6 linked regions of the Macaca fascicularis genome follow. The protein of the gene in region 6 purifies or fractionates together with the protein of the main gene of each other region. This does not show direct contact. Links are inferred from orthologs where the notes say so. Each region holds a gene or a part of one and is shown on either strand. Other genes may lie near its edges. The genes, in order: SMARCC2, ACTL6A, ARID1A, DPF2, SMARCD2 and BCL7C.

Region 1 (3,500 bases), on a different chromosome or scaffold from region 6:
AGGCTGAGACAGGAGAATTGCTTGAACCTGGGAGGCAGAGGTTGCAGTTAGCCGAGATCGTGCCATTGCACTCCAGCCTGGGCAACAAGAGCAAAACTCCATCTGAAAAAAAAAGAGGGAGATCAGTTCAGCATGGGATTTTGTGAAAGGATTTTAAGTGATGATAGAATTTACAATAGAACCTTGACATGCTTCTTCCGTACCTTGATTTTGTAGATCAAATGTTTCCTAGATTTCAAAGCGGGAGGCTCCTTGTGCCACATTCTTGCAGCTGCCTACAAATTCAAGAGTGACCAGGGATGGTGAGATGATTCTCTCTATTCTTCTTACATTTAGTTTAGAGGAAATCCCTCCTTTTGATTCCCTGGGGTCTTTCTGGGGTAGAAATTCTTGTGAGTCTTTATTTTGCTGGGTCAGTAGACCTGACTTGTTAGGTCAGAAAAATGGTTGGGAGTCAGAGCCAAAACAGTCGCCAAGAGTGAGTGTGTACTCGAGTATCAGTGTGTGTTTTGTAGAGGAAAAGGGATTCTTAGGTTGGCGTCTGAAACCTTTTTTTGTCCCTTTGGAGTAAGCACAGAGAGTGATTCATGGAGTTGAGATCAGTGAACCTCAGATCCCAGGTGATTTTGGCAATAGCTGTAAGCAAGCTTGCCTCCTAATTTCCCATATTAAGAAGTCATGACTGGGTGCAGTGGCTCATGCCTGTAATCCCAACACTTTAGGAGGCCGAGGTGGTTGGATCATTTGAGGTCAGGAGTTCAAGACGAGCCTGGCCAACTTGGCGAAACCCCATCTCTACTAAAATACAAAAATGAGCTGGGCATGGTGGCGGGCACCTGTAATCTCAGCTACTTGGGAGGCTGAGGCCGGATAATGGCTTGTAAAGGGGAGGCAGAGGTTGCAGCTAGCCAAGATCACGCCAGTGCACTCCAGCCTGGGCAACAGAGCAAGACTCCCTCTCAAAACAGCAACAACTACAAAAAAAAGGCTGGGTGTGGTGGCTCATGCCTGTAATCCCAGCACTTTGAGAGGCCAAGGCAGGTGGATCACCTGAGGTCAGGAGTTCGAGACCAGCCTGACCAATATGGTGAAACCCTGTCTCCACTAAAAATACAAAAATTAGCCAAGCGAGGTGGTGTGTGCCTGTAGTCCCAGCTACTGGGGAGGCTGAGACAGGAGAATTGCTTGAACCTGAGAGGCAGAGGTTGCAGTGAGCCAGGATCACACCGCTGCACTCCAGCCTAGGTGACAGAGCAAGACTCCATCTCAAAAAACAAAAGTCACATGCCCTCACCTCATCTGCAGACCTGAGCTATACCACTCACTAGATTATTGCCTCTTCACAAGGCGGCGTTACGATTTCCAGAATCCATCACGCATGGACCGCAATGTGGAAATGTTTATGACCATCGAGAAGTCCTTGGTGCAGGTAATAGGCATATCCCCTATTTATCTCCCTTCCCTCAGTGAAAATCTAAAACACTCCTTTCCCGTGATCTCATTCTATTTCTTTTCTCCACAGAATAATTGCCTGTCTCGACCTAACATTTTTCTGTGCCCAGAAATTGAGCCCAAACTACTAGGGAAATTAAAGGACATAATCAAGAGACACCAGGTAAATGGTCTGATCAGGAGAGGTTTCAGAAACTCCATGACTCTTTTCCTGATGTTTTCTATACCAAGCAGCAGCCCTGAACTACCATGTTTTCTGCTTCAGAGGTGGCTCTGTCTACTGGGAAGACTTGAGTTAAAGCCTTGAGTCTGGCCGGGCGCGGTGGCTCAAGCCTGTAATCCCAGCACTTTGGGAGGCCGAGACGGGCGGATCACGAGGTCAGGAGATCGAGACCATCCTGGCTAACACGGTGAAACCCCGTCTCTGCTAAAAAATACAAAAAACTAGCCGGGCGCGGTGGCGGGCGCCTGTAGTCCCAACTACTCGGGAGGCTGAGGCAGGAGAATGGCGTGAACCCGGGAGGCGGAGCTTGCAGTGAGCTGAGATCCAGCCACTGCACTCCAGCCTGGGCGGCAGAGCCAGACTCTGTCTCAAAAAAAAAAAAAAAAAAAGCCTTGAGTCTGTCTTTTTCTGTCTACTTCTCCCATTTTTCAGTCCTGACAGGTTTGCATTACTGTTCCTAGAGACTTATGTTGGCCTGGGGAAAAATAGTATCCACTTCTATTGAGCTAGAGATTGCTTGATTTCAGATAAATGAAATCCCTGCTCTTTAGAACTTTATAATAATGAACAGATGTCATTGATAAGGACGTACAGTTGACTTTAAATTTCCCATGTGTAGATTATCTGTTCAGAGGATTATTTGTAGCAATTTTTAATTCTTTGACTTTTCTCCATTATTAGCACAATCCCAGCTGTTTCCCTCTGCCACTTAGCTGGTGTGTGCTTAGAGAATGCAAACTAACTTTAATACTATTATAAGCAAAATATGATTAGGAAGGCAGCTCTGTGGCTAAACCTTGAGTAATTCAGAGGGGACCGTAATTTACCTGCTTCTCCTTGTGCCATCTAGGGAACAGTCACTGAGGATAAGAACAATGCCTCCCATGTTGTGTATCCTGTCCCGGGGAATCTAGAAGAAGGTGAGACCTGGGTTTTCCTGGCCACTTGAGTGGATGGTTTGGACTAGGAGGCAGAGGACTAAGATCACCATTCAGTACCTGGGCTCCTCTTCTTTCAATCTTGAATCCTCCTAACACCTTAAGTTCCTATTACCAAGTCCCCTGCTACAACAGGAGAGTGCATTAGTTAGGGCTTATGTACAGTATTTTTTTTGTGTCCCTCTTTAGCTTATATCTCTCCCTTCTCTTCCTCTATCCCCAGAGGAATGGGTACGACCAGTCATGAAGAGGGATAAGCAGGTTCTTCTGCACTGGGGCTACTATCCTGACAGGTGAGGATGGGTTCCTGGGGCAGGTTTAAGTATAAGAGCCAGACCCAGAAGCCCTGGAACATCTAGCAGAGCAAGAAGCCACTCGTTCAGAGTTATTTTTAGATCACTTAATTTGTTCTCCTCTCACCTATTAAGTGAACCTCAGTCTTGGGGGAGGTTTGGACTTAGTGAACAAGCCTTGGGCTAAAACAATTGAGGCTTTATGTATGAATTGATTATCCCCACATAATTTTTGATAAGTAAATGTTAGAAACAATCTAAATGTCTAACAGTAGGAAAATGTTTCAGTAAATTTGTATATCTACTCAGTGGGCTATTATGCAGCCTCCAAAGTGATATAAAATAACATGGACAATTTATAAGTGAATATTATTAATAGTTGCAAAAAGCAGCATGTAGGCCCGGCATGGTGGCTCACGCCTGTAGTCCCAGCACTTTGGGAGGACAAGGCAGGCGGATCACCTGAGGTTAGGAGTTCGAGACCAGCCTGGCCAACATGCTGAAACCCTGTGTCTAAAAAAAAAAAAAAAAAAAAAAAAAAATTAGCAGGGCATGGTGGCGCACGCCTGTAGTTTTAGCTACTCGGGGGGCTGA
Region 2 (3,500 bases), on a different chromosome or scaffold from region 6:
GGCATGTAACAAAATTTTAGATTATCAGAAGGAAAGCAAGTGTTCAGAACCAACCACATTGTACAAACAGTGTAGGTATAGCGAGCTACTCTTACCATTTAGGGACAAGTTTTATATGAACATAGGGAACTGTTTGCCAATCGTGTTTCCAGACACCAGCTAAGAGTGAGCCTTACAAGCAGGCCTTTCTCAGGCTTGCAGTGTTAACTCTTTCATGTATAGTAAGTAAATGGGTTCACTAAGTTAAAAGTGCTTAGAACATCCAGGTGACAATTCTGTAAACAGGGGAATAAAAGATTATAAGAAAGATTTTAAGACATGGAGTTGCTTTTTATTACTCTGAAAAAATTTGGAATATGGGAAGAGGATTGAAGATGGAGTTCTTAGCAAAAAACTTGTATATTTTAACCAATAGAGAATAAAAGGTACCCTTGAAGGAGAATGAAAGGGAACAATTAGGGATGTAGGAAAAAATTCAGGGGAAGAATAAGAAAAGAAAAAGTTTCTGGAAGCATAAAATTCCATTTATTCTCAGTGTTTTCCGCTGTGACATTGAAAGCTTTACACTAAGAAAGAAGTTAAAAAAATCCAGGTGGGCCTGTGGAAATATATAATTAATGACATTTTTTCTTTGGGCTGCAGTAGAAAAGTTTGTAAACTCTTGTGAAGGCAATACTGTTATAATTTAGAGAAGTCAGATGAGATTAAAAATGTTAAGTGTCCATGAATTTGCCTAGTAGAAGGTCATTCGCGACTGGGGGCGGTGGCTCACACCTGTAATCCCAGCACTTTGGAGGCCGAGGTGGGTAGATCACCTGAGGTCAGGAGATAGAGACCAGCCTAGTCAACATGGTGAAACCCTGTCTCTACTAAAAATGCAAAAATTAGTTGGGCATGGTGGCGGGCACCTGTAATCCCAGCTACTTGGGAGCCTGAGACAGGAGAATTGCTTGACCCCAGAAAGCAGAGGTTGCAGTGAACCGAGATTGCGCCATTGTACTCCAGTCTGGGCGAGAGAGTGAGACTCCATCTCAAAAAAAAGAAGGTCATTAATGACTTATGTCAGTAGTTTTAATGGAATGTTTAGGTGGAAGCCAAATTGAAGACAGATGTTCTTCTTTGAATTTTTAACATGTCTTTTAGTCTTTTTCCAAATAGATTGTAAGCTTTTTTGAGTGTTGGGTCTAGACCATACAAATCTTTGTTGTTTTTTTTTTTTTTAAACCCAGCAGTAGTATCATTTAGAAGGCCATATAATTCTTCTGTACTTCCTGTTATTCTGATCACATTCTGGGCCTCTAATAAGTATTTATTGAATTGAATAACATTTACTTGGTATTTTAGGTCTGTTAGATTAATTACATTTGGGATAGGTCTGGGGGCTGGAGGGACCAAAAAGAAGTTCTATATATCTAGAAGACAAAGGTAATCTTTATATAAAGTACTGTGGTATGAAGTTGATCTGTAAAATCAGTAGGTTCTGTATAATACGGTATTAATTGTTAAGTCACAGAAACAATTTCTCAAAATATGTTGTATTCATCTTCAACTATGCATTGTTTCCAAGTTACTAATCTTATATTCTAGTTGAAGACTGGGATAGTTTCCAGGCTATTTTGGATCATACCTACAAAATGCATGTCAAATCAGAAGCCAGCCTCCATCCTGTTCTCATGTCAGAGGCACCGGTGAGATAAAGATTTTCTTTTTCATGTTTCTGTAGTTGTTTTTTTTTTTTTTTCTTTTTTCCTTTAGTTTTCTACTCATTTGATGAATATTTTTCTATAAAGAGGCATAGAAATTCAGAAATTCATATTTTGAATTTGAAAATTAGGGAAAAAGATTAATTTTTTAATACTATTGTAACTTTCATTTTACTATTCTGATAAAATATGCAGAGAACAACAAAACACACTAATGAATTCTTGTGGTTATTTATGTATTTCTAGGGATTTAACATTTTATTTCCTAGGACTGCTTCCCATTTTGAATTACGAATCATTTCTTGTGCCCCAAGGGCAGCGTATATCTACTTTATTCAAGTTTCCAAGAGAGAATTGAGATGTTGAACAAGGGCTGGAAATTTCTGGACCAAAGTCTCTTGTGAAATACATTTGGTACATAGACAGAAACGACCCAGAAAGCAAGCATAATGGTCATAAATTATCAGTATCTTATTGTTGCTAACTTATAGTTTCTTTTATGAATACCATCTATAAGTGGGAGAATTTGGTGGTCTAAAATTCATACTTAGGATTTGGATTGACCATATTTACTCTTTAGATTTAATAATATGTTTATAAGAATACTGATTTCCTCATATGTGGAAAAGTCTCTAATTTCTAGAATTTATAGAAGCAATTTTATTATTAAAGAATTTTAATTCTTATCTGATTGATTTGTTAAATTTAATCTACATCTAAAGAAATATAGAGGTTTTGTTTTTATTTTTGTGAGATATTATTATGAAAGATTATTTCCTATGGTATTTTTTGCTGTTCTTATTGTTTTATTTCTTTGTTAATATAGTGCTAGATTTTATCTGGAGATAAATCAACTTTTTAATTCTTAATAACTTGCATTTCTTTTTCCCCTCTTCTCAAGTGGAATACTAGAGCAAAGAGAGAGAAACTGACAGAGTTAATGTTTGAACACTACAACATCCCTGCATTCTTCCTTTGCAAAACTGCAGTTTTGACGGCGTATCCTTGAAAGAGTAATACCTTTCCTCTTGAAGTGTATACCATACTACTGAATGTGATAACTCTGGCAGAAGACATAAGCCAATTATTGCTTGTTCAGAAGTTGTTTTTTTCTCTTTTCTCTTGCTTTTTAGCTATTCATCTTTTGGTGTTTCTCATTAGAACTGATGATACACTAGAAAGTATGAGGGAAATAAAGTAACACTCAAATTCTGAGTGTTAAGACGTTTTTGTTTTTAGGAAGGTGCATGTGGATAGAAGGCAATATTTTAACCAGTTGGCTTAGATGAAATGAAAGATTGCCATTTTCTCCCTCCCTTCCAATATCACAGAAAACTGGAAATTGGCTGTAAATTCATTCCCCTTCAAATTTAGTCAGTCATCAAGTCCCACCTATTCTTTCCTGCTATTTGTTTCTCTCTTTCCCACTGCCACAGCATTAGGTGGAAGCTATTTCCAGGATTACTGAAGCACATCCTCTTGTCTGCCCATTCTTTACACTGTTGATCTAATAATCTTTCTATTTTTATTTATTTATTTATTTGGTAGAGATGGAGTTTCACCATGTTGCCCAGGCTGCTCTCTAACTCCTGGACTCAAGCGATCTGCTTGCCTCGGTCTCCCAAAGTGCTGAGATTACAGGCATGAGCCACCATGCCCAGCCTCTAATAATCTTTCTAAAGTGCTAGTCTGCTTTAAGCTAGAATCATCTTCTACATTTCTTCCTTTTACTTTCAGACCGTACTGAGGTGCTTGCAGTTCTCTGACCTCGCTGTGTTCTCTTGCCTCCTGGTCTTC
Region 3 (3,369 bases), on a different chromosome or scaffold from region 6:
TAATGATGTCCCTCAAGTCTGGTCTCCTGGCAGAGAGCACATGGGCATTAGATACCATCAACATCCTGCTATATGATGACAACAGCATCATGACCTTCAATCTCAGTCAGGTGAGTATCAGTGCCTGGGGAAGATTGAGATGGTTTGGGATCTTCTTAGTGTAGACAATGGGAATGTCTCATCTTTAGCCACCATGGTCTTTCTCTTTCACTCTTGTAGATATCTTCCATGCCAGTACTTTGCTTCCTTTGCCTCTGGGCACGGGCCCAGGATCTTGAGAGCAATAATAATTTGTTTACATGATACCTTAACACAGGATTGACTTCAAAAGGAATTTGGGAGACACTTTGGGGTATTAGTAAGAATGCAGATTCTATTGATGCCAGTGGGGACACCACATTTTCTAGAAGAATCTTGTGTGTTTTGTTTTTTTTTAATAGAGACAAGGTTTCACTGTGTTGCCCAGGTTCATGAACTCCTGAGTTCAAGTGATCCTCCCAAAGTGCTAAGATTACAGGCGTGAGCCACCAGGCCTGGCCTGAATCTGTGGTCTTTTTATCAGTGAGCAGAGTACATTGTTTCCATTTTTCCCTTTCTTCTTTGAACAGTAGGGGCCTTTGTTGATCCCAGTGTCCTTAGATGTAGAGTTGGATGGGGGATTTGGTTGTTTAACAATATTCTTACAAAGCTGATTGTTCAGACCCACCCTCCATAGGATGTGCACACTAGTAGAGGTGCTGGAAAGAGTTTGTGCTGCATCATCCTACTCTTTTTCTTTTGATCATCTTTAATACCTACCAACCTGTATATCAAGGAGCTGACTTATTAATAGTTACCATTTATTGTGCTCTTATTTTGTGCCAGGTCCTTAATATTCTGTTTCATGTCATCCTAGCAACAGCCCTCAGAGACAGGAGATATGGTCATTTAGGGATGAGTAAATAGGCTCAGAGTCTTACCCTTGTTGAGGTTCACATAGCTGTCAGTAGAATCTATCTGATTCCTAAGCCTGATTTTATTTCCATTGCATATTATTGCCTACCATGAGAAAGGAAAAATTTTGATAGAGCAATTTTCATATGCCAGGTATTTGACATCTCCCATTTACACCTCAGAATAACCCTGTAAAGTTTAGGAATTTTTATTTTATACAGCTACTTCCTGGAAAAACCAGAATTTTTTTTTTTTTTTTTTAAGAGACTCTGGCACCTAGGCTGGAGTGTAGTAGTGCCCTCATGGCTCACTGCAGCCTCAAACTTCTGGGCTCAAGTGATCCTCTTGCCTCAGCCTCCTGAGTAGCTGGGACTACAGGCAAATGCCACCATGTCCAGCTATTTATCTATTTTGAGACAGGATCTCCATTACTCAAGCTAGAGTGCAGTGGTGCAATCACAGCTCACTGCAGTCTCGACCTTCCAGGCTCAGGTGATCCTCCCACCTCAGCTTCCCAAGTAGCTAGGACTACAGGTGCACGCCAACATGCTCAGCTAATTATTATTATTATTATTATTATTATTATTATTATTATTATTATTATTTTGAGAGACGGGGCTTCACCATGTTGCCCAGGCTGATCTCAGACTCCTGGGCTCAAGTGATTCACCTGCCTCAGCCTCTCAAAGTACAGGTGTGAGCCACTGCTCCAGGCCCCAGCTAACTTCCTTATTTTTTGTAGAGGCATGGTCTCACTGTGTTGCCCAGGCTGGTCTCAAACTCCTAGGCTCAACTGATTCTCCCACTTCAACCTTCCAAAGTATTGGGACTACCGGCTGGGAGCAGTGGCTCACGCCTGTAATCCCAGCACTTCAGGAGGCCGAGGCAGAAGGATCGCTTGAGGTCAGGAATTTGAGACCAGCTTGGCCAACATGGTGAAACCCCGTCTCTACTAAAAATACAGAAATTAGGCTGGGCGTGGTGGCTCACTCCAGTAATCCTCACACTTTGGGAGGGAGGCCAAGGTGGGTGGATCAGTTGAGGTTAGGAGTTCAAGACCAGCCTGGCCAATATGGTAAAACCCCATATCTACCAAAATATAAAAATTAGCCGGGCCTGGTGGCACACCTGTAATCCCAGCTACTTGGGAGGCAGAGGCAGGAGAATCACTTTGAACCCAGGAGGCAGAGGTTGCAGTGAGCTGAGATTGCACCACTGCACTCCAGCCTGGCCAACAGAGCGGGACTCTTGTCTCAAAAAAAAAAAAAAAAATACACACACACACATACACACACCCCACACACACTATCCCGATGTGGTGGCAGGCGCCTGTAATCCCAGCTACTCGGGAGGCTAAGGCAGGAGAAGAATCACTTGAACCCAGGAGGCGGAGGCTGCAGCCAGCTGAGATCACACCACTACACTCCAGCCTGGATGACAGTGAGACTTTGTCTCAAAAAAAAAACAAAAAAAAGTGTTGGGATTACAGGTGTGAGCCACTGCTTCCAGCCCCTAGATCTAATTTGAAAGCCCTTATTTTTTTCCCATCTGCTCTACTGTTCAGCCAAAGATTGTGACTGGAGAGGAGTGTTTTCTTCTAGAGGTAAATAAATGGCCTATATATTACCCAAGGTGGAATTTGGGTCTCTGTAGCCCCAGTTTGGACCAGTGTTTGGAGAGCTGAAGCCTCATCCCACTCCTTATGCTGCAAGATCCATGGAGTTCCAGCCCCCTGGACTATTGGGGAGCTTGGAGAAGAGAGCCATGAACATCTGCCCACATTGCATTCTCTTCTCTTAGCTTGAGTCACCATGCCTAAGCTTGGGTTCCACTTGGCAGTGAGATGGAGAGAATGTCCTAAAAGAGATAATATGGCAGTGACCACCAGGTTGGAAACTGGCCTGGTGAAGAACAGCAGAAGATTGATTGGGAAAAGAGAAGGCTAAGAGATGACTGGCCCTGGTGGGTGAGGTGCAAAGCTGTTGGCTAGTGTTCCTGGAGATAGGCTTATGTGAAGGTAGGTTGGGCAGAAGAAAGAACTTTGTGTTGGGCATAGAAGAGATTAAGATGAACAATTTGCTCTGTGGAGAACCTTTGGGAAAGGAGCAACTCTGCCTCTCCCAGCTGATACAGAAGACTTGGGGAGGTCTCTCAAGTCAAGGATTCTGTTCTTTGACCACTTTTATCCCTTAATTTATTTCCTGTTCTTTCTCTTTTTAGCTCCCAGGGTTGCTAGAGCTCCTTGTAGAATATTTCCGACGATGCCTGATTGAGATCTTTGGCATTTTAAAGGAGTATGAGGTGGGTGACCCAGGACAGAGAACGCTACTGGATCCTGGGAGGTTCAGCAAGGTGTCTAGTCCAGCTCCCATGGAGGGTGGGGAAGAAGAAGAAGAACTTCTAGGTCCTAAACTAGAAGAGGAAGAAGAAGAGGAA
Region 4 (4,152 bases), on a different chromosome or scaffold from region 6:
TCTAAATCTGCTGAAAGGGAGGTCGTGGTGACAGGAGCTGTTTCAAGGGAACAGGTGGGAACAAAGTTCCCATTAAACTGGATGGAAGCGGGACCTAGAAACAAGGTAACAGAGATAGGGAGTACTATTTGCTTTTAAAGGGTGAAAAGAGGTGATAGTTGAAGATTGACTTGGGCTGTTTTTTGTTTTTTGGTTTTTGGTTTTTTTGAGACAGAGTTGGCTTTGTTGCCCAGGCTGGAGTGCAGTGGCACAATCATGGCTCACTCACCTTCGACCCTCCTGTGCTCAAGCAATCCTGTCACTTCAGCCTCTAGAGTAGCTGGGAACACAGGTGCACGCCACCACATCCGGGTAATTTTTAAATTTTTAGTAGCGAAGAGGCCTCGATATGTTGCCCAGGCTGGTCTCGAACTCTTGAGCTCAAAGCAATCCTCCTGCCTCTGCCTCCCACGGTGCTGGGAGCCACTGTGACTGCCCTCCTCCTGCTCTTTTTTTTTTTTTTTTTTTTTTTGAGACAGAGTCTCGCTCTGTCTTCCAGGCTGGAGTGCAATGGCATGATCTCAGCTCACTGCAACCTCCACCTCCCAGGTTCAAGCGATTCTCCCCCTTCAGCCTCCCGAGTAGCTGGGATTATAGGTACCTGCCATCATGCCGGGCCAATTTTTGTATTTTTAGTAGAGATGGGGGTTTCACCACGTTGGCCAGGCTGGTCTCGAACTCCTGACCTCAGGTGATCCACCCGCCTCGGCCTCCCAAAGTGCTGGGATTACAGGCCTGACCCACCGCGCCCGGCTCCTGCTCTTATTTTTTTATTTTATTTATTTATTTTTTTGAGACCGAGTCTGGCTCTGTCGCCCAGGCTGGAGTGCAATGGCGCAATATCGGCTCACTGCAAGCTCCGCCTCCCGGGTTCACGCCATTCTCCTGCCTCAGCCTCCCGAGTAGCTGGGACTACAGGCGCCCGCCACCACGCCCGGATAATTTTTTGTATTTTTAGTAGCGATGGGGTTTCACCGTGTTAGCCAGGATGGTCTCGATCTTCTGATCTCGTGATCCGCCCGCCTCGGCCTCCCGAAGTGCTGGGATTACAGGCGTGAGCCACCGCGCCCGGCACCGCCTCCTGTTGCTCTAAATAGAAGAGGCGGCCCTCGAACCGAAGCTCCGGGACGCACGCCAGTCTCCGGTTGCGCCTGCGCGTCGGGCTCCCGTGGGGTCCTACCCGGCCCCCGGGAACAGGCCTAAAGTTCTTTCTTCGGTGCTCGCTCTCGTGCGCGCGCCCGGACGGCGCCTGCGCAGAGGGCGAGGAACCTGGTACCCCGGTGCGGTCCCGGCGCCTGCGCGCTGCGGACTTTGGGGCCTCCCGGCCCGAGGGAGAGGAGCAGGGAAGATGGCGGCTGTGGTGGAGAATGTAGTGAAGCTGTGAGTGGTGGTTTCTTTCTCTCCTAGGGCGGCAGGTTTTGTAAAGGGCCTGGGAGTAGGGGGCTGTGGGGAAAGGGACTAGGCGGAGAGAGGGACATCCCCGGGAAGGCCATGTTGCGACTCCTGGTGGGGAGGGCAATAGGAGACTCCGGAGAAGACGTTGCGCTTCTTTGGAAACTTGTGGAGGCCCTGATGGGGGCACACTGGAGCCCCGACGGGCAGCCTCTCTGCTGGGCTGTGTGGCCTCAGCGTTCCTCGGGGCTGACGGTTTCCAGAGCATGGCGCCCTGCCTGCACGCGAGACTCACCGTCCCGGTCCTCTCCCGAGACGCCTCAGTCCGGAGGAGCGGGGCCGAGGCCCGGGCGGCCCCACGGCTAACCCGCCGCCCATCCCGCCCCGTCCCGTCCGCTGCAGCAACAGGCTCGGCGGCCCCTGTGGGGTGCACTGCGGGGCTGGCTGTTTCAGTTCCAAGCAGCCCCGTGATGTTTGGGAGGATCTTGGGTGGCAGGTACCTAAGACTACAAATATTCTTGGGAAGCATTTGTCGAGGAGCGGATCCAAAAGGGGAGTGGGCCTTGGCGCCTTCCAGTGGCAACCATCAAAAACCTGCAACTGAACCAAAGCCGTTCAGGACAGCTTAGTAGCCTAAAGGGGCATCTAAGTGGGCATTCTTCCTATGATGCGATACCGTTGTGCTGGTCAGATTTCAAGCAAAGTTAAAGTTAATAGCTGTTGGGGCCATGGACACTGACCTATGAACTGCTTCCTGTGAGTTAAAGATGCTTTGGGACTGACTTGATTTATTCCTACAGGAGAATCAGAATGAGTTTTAGATTGGGTTAATGCCCGGTAGGCGAATAGAGCTTCTTTTAATGGGTATATTGGGCTTGGTGCAAGGGTGGGAAAATTGAGTGGTGTCTAACTGTCCAGTCAGGGTTTTTGGATTTTGGCTGGGTGATGAGGTAAAGGTTCGGTAAGTATTCTAAGGGACTCACAGCTTCTCATCTGTCTTTGTCGTGGCCTGAGCCCCTCTCTTCCTAGGGGCCTTTTTAAAGAGTAAGTTGCTTCTCCCTCCTGCCTGAAGCCTTTTCTTTGAGAATGCTTTCCCACTTCCATTAAGCTAAGTGCCTTTCCTCCTCTTGTGGTTTTTTTTTTTTTTTTTTTTTTTTTAAGTTGCTTTCTGCTCTATCCTGCTGTCTCTTTCAGCCACCCCTCCTCCCAACACTATTGTCTTTCTGATCTGCCCACTCCAGTTTCCCCAGCTCTCTCTTCAGGCTGACATTTTTCTCAATTTAGAAATGACACTGTTGATCTACCATTTATCCAGTTATCCTTTCTGACTCAGATGTTCTTTCTTTGTTTCCCTGTGTCTTTGTTGACTTCCCTCATCCCATTGTAAGGGGATGTTTTACACAAGTTTCTCCAAAAATAAAAAGAAAGATTCTCATTGTACTGGAGGAGTATCAGACTTGCCTAGGTTTTGAGAGTTAAACGTAGTGAGGCTCTTTGTGTTGGAAGGTTTTCCTCGGGGAAATAGGGTTGCCAGTGCTTTCAAGTTGTGTCATAAGTGAGGGGTTGCCCATTTAAACAGAGCATGACATCTTGTTTCTCTTTGAAAAACTGTAGAGATTGTGAGCATCACCAGCCACTAATTCCTGAATGCCAGTAATGAGAAACCAACTCTCTCCTCCTCATTTCTAGCTGCACAGGGCCTCAGATCACAATTAATACGTACTCCCGCAGAATTATCCCTTTAAGAAGGGGCTTCCATTCTTCCAGTTAATTTGGAGATAATTTTCTGGCACTTCTCTTGATTATAGTGTACGTAGTCTTCTGACAGCTGATGTTATACATTGAGTATGTTGAGGTCGGACCACTGGCTCATCTTTTCTTTTTTTTAATTTTTTTAGACAGAGTTTCGCTGTTGTTGGCCCGGGCTTGAATGCAGTGGCACGATCTTGGCTCACTGCAACCTCCGCTTCCTGGGTTCCAGCAGTTCTCCTGCCTCAGCCTCCCGGGTAGCTGAGATTACAGGTGCCCACCACCACACCTGGCTAATTTTTGTATTTTTAGTAGAGATGGAGTTTCATCACGTTGGCCAGGCTGGTCTTGAACTCCGGACCTCAGGTCATCCACCTGCCTCGGCCTCCCAAAGTGCTGGGATTACAGGCGTGAGCCACCGCGCCCGGCCTTAAGAATTTTCTTATTTGTAAGTTTCTGTCCCTGCCAAATGTGATGTCAGAAATGGAAGTCTTGGCTGGGTGCAGTGGCTCACGTCTATAATCCCAACACTTTGGGAGGCTGAGGCGTGCTGATCGCTTGAGGTCAGGAGTTCGAGACCATCCTGGCCCACATGGTGAAACCCCATCTCTACTAAAACTATAAAAATTAGCCAGGTGGGGTGGCACACACCTGTAGTCCCAGCTACTCGGGAGGCTGAGGCACAAGAATCGCCTGAACCCAGGAGGCGGAGGTTGCAGTGAGCTGATGTCACACCACTGCCCTCCGGCCTGAGTGACACTTTAAGACTCTGTCTTAAAAAAAAGAAAGAGGCGACTGGGCGCGGTGGCTCTGTAATCCCAGCACTTTGGGAGGCCGAGGCGGGCGGATCACAAGGTCAGGAGATTGAGACCATCCTGGCCAGCATGGCGAAACCCCACTCTACTAAAAATACAAAAATTAGCTGGGCGTGGTGGCGTGCGCCTGTAATCCCAGCTACTCGGGATACTGAGG
Region 5 (3,953 bases), on a different chromosome or scaffold from region 6:
GCATTTGCTGGGGAGTAAAGTACCAGGCTTCCTTATAGTGAGGCAGAGCCACGTTAAAAATGTGCTGTAAGAGCTCAGCCTTGGCCAAGTCGACCATTCACCAGCTGGGTCAAGTCTGGAGCCTCCTAGGTCCCTTGGCAGTTCCGAGCTACCAGGATGAGCTTTTACAGGAAGTTGAGTTGGCTGCTGTTCTGCCCCAGAGAGCAGCTGAGTCTTTTTTCTTTTTTTGAGGAGTTTCACTCTTGCCGCCCAGGTTGGAGTGGAGTGGAGAGATCTTGGCTCATTGCAACCTCTGTCTCCCGGGTTCAAGCGATTCTCCTGCCTCAGCCTCCCGAGTAGCTGGGATTACAGGCGCCAGCCACCACTCTCGGCTAATTTTTGTATTTTTAGTAGAGACGGGGTTTTCACCATGTTGGCCAGGCTGGTCTCGAACTTCTGACCTCAGGTGGTCCACCCGCCTCAACCTCCCAAAGTGCTGGGATTACAGGCGTGAGCCACCGCTACCGACTCTGAGTTGGGTCTTTAATGTGGAAGATGCAGAAAGGAGACTTGACAAAACTATTTTCGGTGAGGCTGCTACACCGGGAAAGAGTAGTAGCAACTGCTCATTCACTGTGAAGCCTCAACGTGACCTTAGACCTCTGACCCCGCGCCTCACTCGGCGCTTCCGCGCGCAGCTTCCGCTCCCGCCCCTCCGATGAAGGGCGGGGCCAAAGGTGGGGGGTGGGACTCTGAGGTCGGCGGTTAGGGGCGGTGCCTGCTGGGGGCGGGTCTCGCGAGGGGCGGGATTCAAGGAGGCACTCGAGCATTGGGCACCAGGTAGAGGCGGGGCCTAGTGCTGGGCTGGGTTGGGCGGGGCAGGGAGTTCGTAGCCGCCTCTGGGTAACTCGACTCGGGCGGCCAAACCTCCGGAGTCCGGGGGCGGCAGGCGGGCCCACAGCAGATCCTGGATCCGGAATCTCCGGCGCAGGAGCGGAATCTGTCCCGAACCGGGTCTGTGAGGAACTCGCGAACTTGGATTAGGAAATCCCGGAGCCCGGATCGACAAATCCCGGAACCCGGAATTAAGATCGCCAAGTCCCGGATCGCGGAGTACAGAGCGCGGAGTGGACTCGACGCGTAGCCCGGAGTCCGGATCGCGGCACCGCGGGACGGGACGGAGCGATGTCGGGCCGAGGCGCGGGCGGGTTCCCGCTGCCCCCGCTAAGCCCTGGCGGCGGCGCCGTGGCCGCGGCCCTGGGAGCGCCTCCTCCCCCCGCCGGACCCGGCATGCTGCCCGGACCGGCGCTCCGGGGACCGGGTCCGGCTGGAGGCGTGGGGGGCCCCGGGGCCGCCGCCTTCCGCCCCATGGGCCCCGCGGGCCCCGCGGGGCAGTACCAGGTGAGTAGGGAGGACGCGAGCGGACGGGGGCGTGCGGCGCCGCGAGGGCGCCCGGGCCGGGGGCTGAGGGGGCCTCGAGTGAGGGCCTTGGGGAATGCATGAGGAACTCCGGGAGACGGTGGAGGGCGGGCCAGATCCCTCGGGCTGCGGCGGGTGGCGGTGGAGGAGTGGGGAAGGGGGAGCGAGTCCTGCAGCGGAGGGCTGGAACCAGCTGGGAGGCCTGGGGGCTTCCGCGGCACAGAGATTCCGAGTGACTGGGAGATGGAGGAGTTTGGGGAACCAGTGAATTGTGGGCGGGTGGGTTGAGAAGTCTAGGGTAGGAGGGCTAGAAAGTGATGAGAAAGTTTGGGAAAGGGCCCTCGCTGAGAAACCGGGGTTACCCTGCATCGGCCTTGGTCCCACTCCAAGTCTGCCCTGTTTTTTCTGGTTGCGAACTGGCCGAGCTCTAGCGTGTCTGAGATGGCTCCCGGCTGCTAATGAGGAGGAAGGAGCCTGGCTTCCCACGGGCACGGGACGCTGAGGCTACTAGGGCCAGGGGATTCATTCCAGCTTGTGCACGGGCGGACTTTACTCCAGAGGCAGGGCCAGGCGCCTTCGCTGGGGAGGACTCCAGCTTAGACCAGAGACGGTGGTGGCCAGGCTTGAGGGGAGGCCCAGCCTAGTCAAAGGCCGGCTCTCTTCTGGGCTTTCTGCCTCCTGTCATCGTGTCGGGTAGTTGATTAGTCTGGACGTGCAGAGTGGAACCCTGCTGGTCTGGGGCCCGAGGAGTCTGCGAGAGTTGCTTCAAAGAGTGCTGTCCTGACCCCTTTGGGGTTTTGAGAGCTGCTCAGGTTTCAGCTTCAAAAGCCCTTGGAAGGCAGCGACTTCTGCTCAGTGTGTGAGAACCTCAGCCTGACCCTGCTGGTCCCCTAGTCTGCTGTTCAGGTTGCACCAGCAGGCTTGGAAACTGTGCCCATCTGCCTTATCATCCTCTCTGCATTTTTATTTGGCCTTCAGGTTCTAACTCCGCCACATCCGAAGCCATATGCCCCAGCATTTGACACTGGCTTCTCCCAGGGTCTGCTGTGGGCTTCCTCTGTTTTCGACTCCTGTCTCCAGGCGGAGGTCCTTAGGGATCCTCGTGGAGTATACACAGCCTACCTGCCCCACTGGGCCTCACATCTAAGGAGATGGCTTAACTAGGGACAGTGACTGGATTTTTTTCCCTTCTTCCTCCTCATTCTTCCTCCTTTCTCAAGAGAAAACAGAGTCTGGATATGGGCAGAGACAGACCTGGTCCCAGGGACTCCAGCTGGGGCTCATCTTTCCCACCCTACTCTCCCCCTTGGGGATTCATGGGCCCAGGGTGTTGCTGAGGGCTCCCTGCATCAGTCATTGTAGCCCTTGGGCCTGCCCACTGAGACCTGGCCTGGGCACCATCTGTGGGCCTTTGGCCTTGGAAGGACCTGGAACAGACAAGCCGCTCCAGTTTCCTTGGCATGCAAAAAGTCATAGGAAATGTGCCCTTGAGACAGCCCCTAAGAGAATGGATTCCACATGTTTGGTGGGGGGTGGCCTTGGGCTTGTGGCAAGGCCAAGCTGGCTGGCTGGTTAGGCCTGGGCTGCTAGCTGTGGGGAAGTAGGAGATGGCCCTGAGTCTGGGTTTCCCATCCCACTAGCTTTCCTCCTCTTGGCAGGAGAGGTAGATGGTACAGAGAACCCAGCCAGCTAACTTTGGCTGAGTTTGAAGAGGATCCTACTTGCTCTCTTTCCAAGTCCAGTTGTATGACTTCCAGGAGAAGGGACTTGAGATCTGGGAAACAGAGGGGTTCCTGTCTGTTAGGGCTCATGAGATGTGCTGGAAAAGCGAGAATTTGAGGCCCAAGCTGAACAAATAGTTGAAAGAAGGGAAGTGATGACCTCCCTTCCTCCAGAGGGTGGTTCTGGCTGTGGATCACAGTTAACAGAGGAACCTAAAACAAAAACAACAACAAAAAACCCTCCAGGGCAGGATGTGGTGGCTCACACCTATAATCCTAGCACTTTGGGAGGCCCAGACAGAAGGATTACTTGAGATCAGGAGTTCAAGACCAGCCTAGGCAACATAGTGAGACCATAATTTCTCAAAAAAAAAAAACCCAAAAAAATTTAGCCAAACTTGGTGGTGTGCGCTTATGGTCCCAGCTAGTCGGGATGCTGTGGCAGGAGGATTGCCTGAGTCCAGGAGTTCAAGGCTGTATTGAGCTATGATCCTGCCACTGCACTCCAGCCTGGGCAACAAAATAACAAAAACCTCAGATTTCTGGGTTCACTCCAGAGAGTTCAAAAAGTTCAAAATCTTTTTTTTTTTTTTTTTTTTTTTTGAGACGGAGTCTCACTCTGTCGCCCAGGCTGGAGTGCAGTGGCATGATATCAGCTCACTGCAACCTCCACCTCCCAGGTTCAAGCAATTCTCTGCCTCAGCCTCCTGAGTAGCTGGGATTACAGGTGCCCGCCACCATGCCCGGCTAATTTTTTTTGTGTTTTCAGTAGACACGGGGTTTCACCATCTTAGCCAGGATGGTCTTGAACTCCTGACCTTGTGATCCACCTGC
Region 6 (3,954 bases):
CCCAGGAGGCTGAGGCAGGAGAACTGCCTGAACCTGGGAGGTGAAGGTTGCAGTGAGCCAAAATTGTGCCATTGCACTCTAGCCTGGGCAAGAGTGAAACTCAAAGGAAAAAAAGAAAAGAAAAGAAAAAAACCCAACCATGTAAAGTGTTTACCAGGGCGCCTGGCACACAGTAAGAGCTCAATAAATACTGTTGTTATTCCTGTTATTATTAATCACCCCAATGACTATCACTATTATTTATTCACTCAACAGATATTTACTGAGCACCTACTCTGTGTCCCATATTATTCTGAGAATACAGTAGTGAACAAGATCACATAGGGCCAAGCACAGTGACTTACGCCTATAATCCCAGCACCGTGGGAGGCTGAGACAGAAGGATCATTTCAGGCCAGGAGTTCGAAACCAACCTTGGCAACATAGCGAGACCCTATCTCTACAAAAAATTTAAAAGTTAGCTGGGTGTGGTGGCACACACCTGTAGTCCCCAGCTACTTGGGAGGCTGGGGCCAGAGGATCCCTTGAGCCCAGGAGTTTGAGGCTGCAGTGAGCTATGATTGCACCAGTGCACTCCAGCCTGGGTGACAGAGAACTTCTCTCTAAAAAAAGAAAGGGGGGGCGGGTATGGGTGTGATGGCTCACACCTGTAATCCCAGCACTTTGGGAGGCTGAAGATGGAGGATCGCTTGAGTGAGTGAGTTTGAGACCAGCCTGGGCAACATGGTGAAACCTTGCCTCTACAAAAAATACAAATGGCATATGCCTGTGGTCCAAGCTACTTGGGAGGCTGAGGCGGGAGGATCGCTTGAGCCCAGGAAGTTCAAGGCTGCAGTGAGCTATGATCACACCACTGCACCACTCCAGCCTAGGTGACACAGTGAGACCCTGTCTCAAAAAAAAAAAAAAAAAAAAAAAAAAAAAGGATTAATATGGGCCCAACATTCAGGAAACTGACATGAGAGTGAGGAGAAAGATAGTAAAAAATTAATTTACATGAAAGTCTCAGACAGTGATATGTCATCTATAGATCCTAAGAGACCAGAGGAATGAGACAGCAACTACAGAGAGATTCTGCAGGAGTCGGAAGGCACCTTGAGGAAGGTGCACAAGATGGGGAGCAGGTATAGGGATAAGCTGGTAGGTTAGACTCTGGAGAAGACAGGACTTAGAGGAGAGGGCTCCTGGGAGGTACCTGGTCCTACCTCTCTCTTGGCCCAGCCGTGGGGGCTGAGCCTCCTCAGGGACCCCTTCTGGGGGTCCGGCAGGTGACACAGGGCGGCTGGGCTGGGGGGTGCCCCCAGGACTGGGCTCTGTGCCCTTTTGCAGGGAACCTTCCGAATGGAAACTCTGGTTGCTGTTCTCATCTGTGGGAGCAAGAGCCGAGATGGTTGGCCTGAGATCCCTAATACACTCCTTCAGTCCCCACAGCCCTCCGCATTTCAGGATCCCTACCTACCATTGAGATCCAGCAGGATGAGAGGGCCACCCCCTCGGGGACTGGCGCCCCTGCCCCGACGTTCCCGGCCACGGGATCTCTCTGCCCCGCCACCTGCCCGCCTTCGCTCCTGGGGGTTAGAGGATTAGGGTCAGAGCTCTTGGAAAGCCCCACCATACACCTAAGGAAACTGAGGCACTGAGAAGCAAAAGGGCTCGAACTCAGGGTGTGGAACAGAAAAGAGGGAAAAAGGGGAGGAGCTGCTAATGATGGTTCCCATCTGTCTGTTCTGCTGCATCTGAGGTCTCTGGGAGCTGGAGGTAGAGGTCAGGGTGGGGAGGAGCTTGCCTGAGGTTGCACAGATGCAGGGCCTTGTGGGAATGGGGGTTGCTCACCTCCTCCTGGGGGTCCACCACTGGCACCCACTTGAAGATACGAAGGGAAGTGTCGCCCACAGTCACCCATCGCTTCTCCCTGTGGGAGGGTGGGGGACTGGGTCAGAGAGGCCTGAGGGGAGACCCACCCCCCCAGGAGCCGGACACATCTGGGGGTACCTGCAGAGGTTGGGGAGGCACAGGAGGGTAGCAACAGTTTTGCTAATGGGGCATAGTTACATGGAGAAAGAGAGCCCTGCAAACCCCAGGGCACAGGCGGTGGGTGCCTCTAGAGAGAGGATATGATTTGGGCCCTGGCTCTGCGGACCCCTGGGGCACACACGGGGGGCGTGGCTATGGGCCTGGCCCGGGATCAGAGACCTGCAGATCTCGGGGCGCACTTGCAGAAGGAGTGTCAAAGCTTTAGGGGGCGGGGCACAAACGGGGGCTCCCACTCTGGGAGAGCACGACTGGGGACCACGCTTTGTAGACCCCCAGGAGTAGCCAGGGGAACGGGGACAGATCCAGGGCAAAGCTAGTGGGCGGGGATACAGCGAACACCGGGGCCCAGAGCTGGCGAAGGCAGCTTAGACGCCTTAGGTGGTGGTGGTCCCGCCGTGTCCCGTCCCTGGCCCCCGGGCAGCGCTCACCATCTCCGGACCTTCTCGATGGTCGCCATCACCTTCTTGATGTCATCCTTGGCCCGGCTCCGGGTCTCAGCCCGTACGGTCCGGCCGGCCATGCTGGCGGGGCTGGGGCCGGAGCCGAGCCCGCGGCGGGGCCGCCTCCCGTCCGGCGGGCTCAGGCTCGGCGCCAGGCCCGGGCGCCGCGCTCTCGGCCTGCCGTCCCCCCGGGAGTTGGCCGCGCCCTCTCTCGTCCCCAACGCCTCCGCGAGTCCCCGCCCCGTTTCCTGCCGCCGTGCCCCGCCCCGGCCCGTCCCCGGAGCGGCCCGGTGGCGCGGGCGGCCAGAGCCCAGGCCTGGAAGCCCGGCCGGCCCCGCCCCGACCCGGGCCCGCCCCCTCGGAGCGCCTGGACGCGCAGCGCCCCCTGCCCGCTGTCGAGAGCGGGAGTTGGGTACTGCTCGGCGGCCGGACGCGCGAGGCAGGGCCGAGGCGGTGCGTTCAGACCACGTGGGCGCGGGGTGCTCGAGAGGGTCTGTGTCCTGGGGTGCGTGCGCCGCGGTGGGTGTCCGCGAAACGCTGTGTGTGGAGTGCGTGCGTGTGTCCGCCCTCGCCAGGCTCTCGGTCTACACCGCCCAACACTCATTCATCCATTCATTCAACAGTCCTGTTAACTGAGCGCCAATTACGCGCCAGGCGCTGCGAATACGAGTAGGTCTCTACCCACCAGAATGGCTAAAGTGAAAAAGACCGCACCATGTGGAGGCGAGAAAGTAGAGCGACTGAACCTCTCTTGTATTTCTGGGGGAGTGTAAATTGGTAGAGACGTTTTGAGAACTGGCAGTTTTCTAGTGAAGCCGAACATATGCCACCTCTGTGATCCAGCAATTCCACTCCTAGGCTGTCAACACCCAGCAGAAATGTGTAGGTGTGAGCACCAAGAGGGTGCTTGGGAACGTTCAGAGCCCTTTCATAACAGCCCCAAACTGGAAATAACCCATCAACAGAATGGAAAATGAATGATGCCCTACTCATTACCATGCACATAGACACAGCAACGGGAGTGACATGCCCGGCTACACCCAGCAACATAGACAAGTCGCATGACGAAATCTTGAGTGACAGAAGCCAAATACAACAGTACATACTAGATGGTTCCAGGTGTATTACGTTCAGAACCAGACAAAACTAATTTAAAGTGCACCAAAGTCAAGATAGTGGTCGCCCTTAGGATTGGGAGGGGATGAGGGGAGAGCTTCTGGGAGCTGATCCAGTTCTGTTGTGTGATCCGGTGCTGGTTCCCTGGGCATATGTACTCTGTGAAAATCCATCACATGACTTAAATAAAATGTGCATTACTTAAAGAAAGTGAGTGTGTCTTGGTTGACTTTATTTGAGGCTGGCTTGTCAGCAGATAAGACCATGTCAAAATTTGTGCTGCTGTGTGTGTGTGTGTGTTTCAAGATGTGCCTGTTGTGTCTGTGAGTTTGGGCGTGACCATGTCCCGAGGTTAAGGGTATAA

Evidence for each region.
Region 1: the proteins of BCL7C (region 6) and SMARCC2 purify together in Homo sapiens (affinity purification with mass spectrometry; 4 studies listed by BioGRID and IntAct, counting the BioPlex papers as one, with this or other methods). This does not show direct contact. The link is inferred for Macaca fascicularis from reciprocal best matches to the Homo sapiens genes BCL7C and SMARCC2.
Region 2: the proteins of BCL7C (region 6) and ACTL6A purify together in Homo sapiens (affinity purification with mass spectrometry; 3 studies listed by BioGRID and IntAct, counting the BioPlex papers as one, with this or other methods). This does not show direct contact. The link is inferred for Macaca fascicularis from reciprocal best matches to the Homo sapiens genes BCL7C and ACTL6A.
Region 3: the proteins of BCL7C (region 6) and ARID1A purify together in Homo sapiens (affinity purification with mass spectrometry; 5 studies listed by BioGRID and IntAct, counting the BioPlex papers as one, with this or other methods). This does not show direct contact. The link is inferred for Macaca fascicularis from reciprocal best matches to the Homo sapiens genes BCL7C and ARID1A.
Region 4: the proteins of BCL7C (region 6) and DPF2 purify together in Homo sapiens (affinity purification with mass spectrometry; 4 studies listed by BioGRID and IntAct, counting the BioPlex papers as one, with this or other methods). This does not show direct contact. The link is inferred for Macaca fascicularis from reciprocal best matches to the Homo sapiens genes BCL7C and DPF2.
Region 5: the proteins of BCL7C (region 6) and SMARCD2 purify together in Homo sapiens (affinity purification with mass spectrometry; 3 studies listed by BioGRID and IntAct, counting the BioPlex papers as one, with this or other methods). This does not show direct contact. The link is inferred for Macaca fascicularis from reciprocal best matches to the Homo sapiens genes BCL7C and SMARCD2.

The regions. Positions count from the first base shown.
Region 1 is NC_088385.1:62,971,584-62,975,083, reverse strand, and holds part of SMARCC2 (SWI/SNF complex subunit SMARCC2), read left to right. Parts: intron 1-216; coding exon 217-302; intron 303-1,347; coding exon 1,348-1,429; intron 1,430-1,522; coding exon 1,523-1,615; intron 1,616-2,525; coding exon 2,526-2,595; intron 2,596-2,836; coding exon 2,837-2,906; intron 2,907-3,500. UniProt on the Homo sapiens protein: Involved in transcriptional activation and repression of select genes by chromatin remodeling (alteration of DNA-nucleosome topology).
Region 2 is NC_088376.1:91,326,933-91,330,432, forward strand, and holds part of ACTL6A (actin-like protein 6A), read left to right. Parts: intron 1-1,587; coding exon 1,588-1,688; intron 1,689-2,604; coding exon 2,605-2,702; intron 2,703-3,500.
Region 3 is NC_088375.1:208,331,523-208,334,891, reverse strand, and holds part of ARID1A (AT-rich interactive domain-containing protein 1A), read left to right. Parts: coding exon 1-110; intron 111-2,497; coding exon of another isoform or gene 2,498-2,617; exon of another isoform or gene 2,618-2,853; intron 2,854-3,153; coding exon 3,154-3,369. UniProt on the Homo sapiens protein: Involved in transcriptional activation and repression of select genes by chromatin remodeling (alteration of DNA-nucleosome topology).
Region 4 is NC_088388.1:9,039,884-9,044,035, reverse strand, and holds the start of DPF2 (zinc finger protein ubi-d4), read left to right. Parts: upstream 1-1,352; 5' UTR 1,353-1,387; coding exon 1,388-1,419; intron 1,420-4,152. UniProt on the Homo sapiens protein: Plays an active role in transcriptional regulation by binding modified histones H3 and H4. Is a negative regulator of myeloid differentiation of hematopoietic progenitor cells. Might also have a role in the development and maturation of lymphoid cells.
Region 5 is NC_088390.1:70,346,792-70,350,744, reverse strand, and holds the start of SMARCD2 (SWI/SNF-related matrix-associated actin-dependent regulator of chromatin subfamily D member 2), read left to right. Parts: upstream 1-1,153; 5' UTR 1,154-1,164; coding exon 1,165-1,380; intron 1,381-3,953. UniProt on the Homo sapiens protein: Involved in transcriptional activation and repression of select genes by chromatin remodeling (alteration of DNA-nucleosome topology).
Region 6 is NC_088394.1:29,068,280-29,072,233, forward strand, and holds the start of BCL7C (B-cell CLL/lymphoma 7 protein family member C), read right to left. Parts: upstream 2,801-3,954; 5' UTR 2,555-2,800; coding exon 2,463-2,554; intron 1,913-2,462; coding exon 1,834-1,912; intron 1,569-1,833; coding exon 1,460-1,568; intron 1,368-1,459; coding exon 1,206-1,367; coding exon of another isoform or gene 1,196-1,205; intron 1-1,195. UniProt on the Homo sapiens protein: May play an anti-apoptotic role.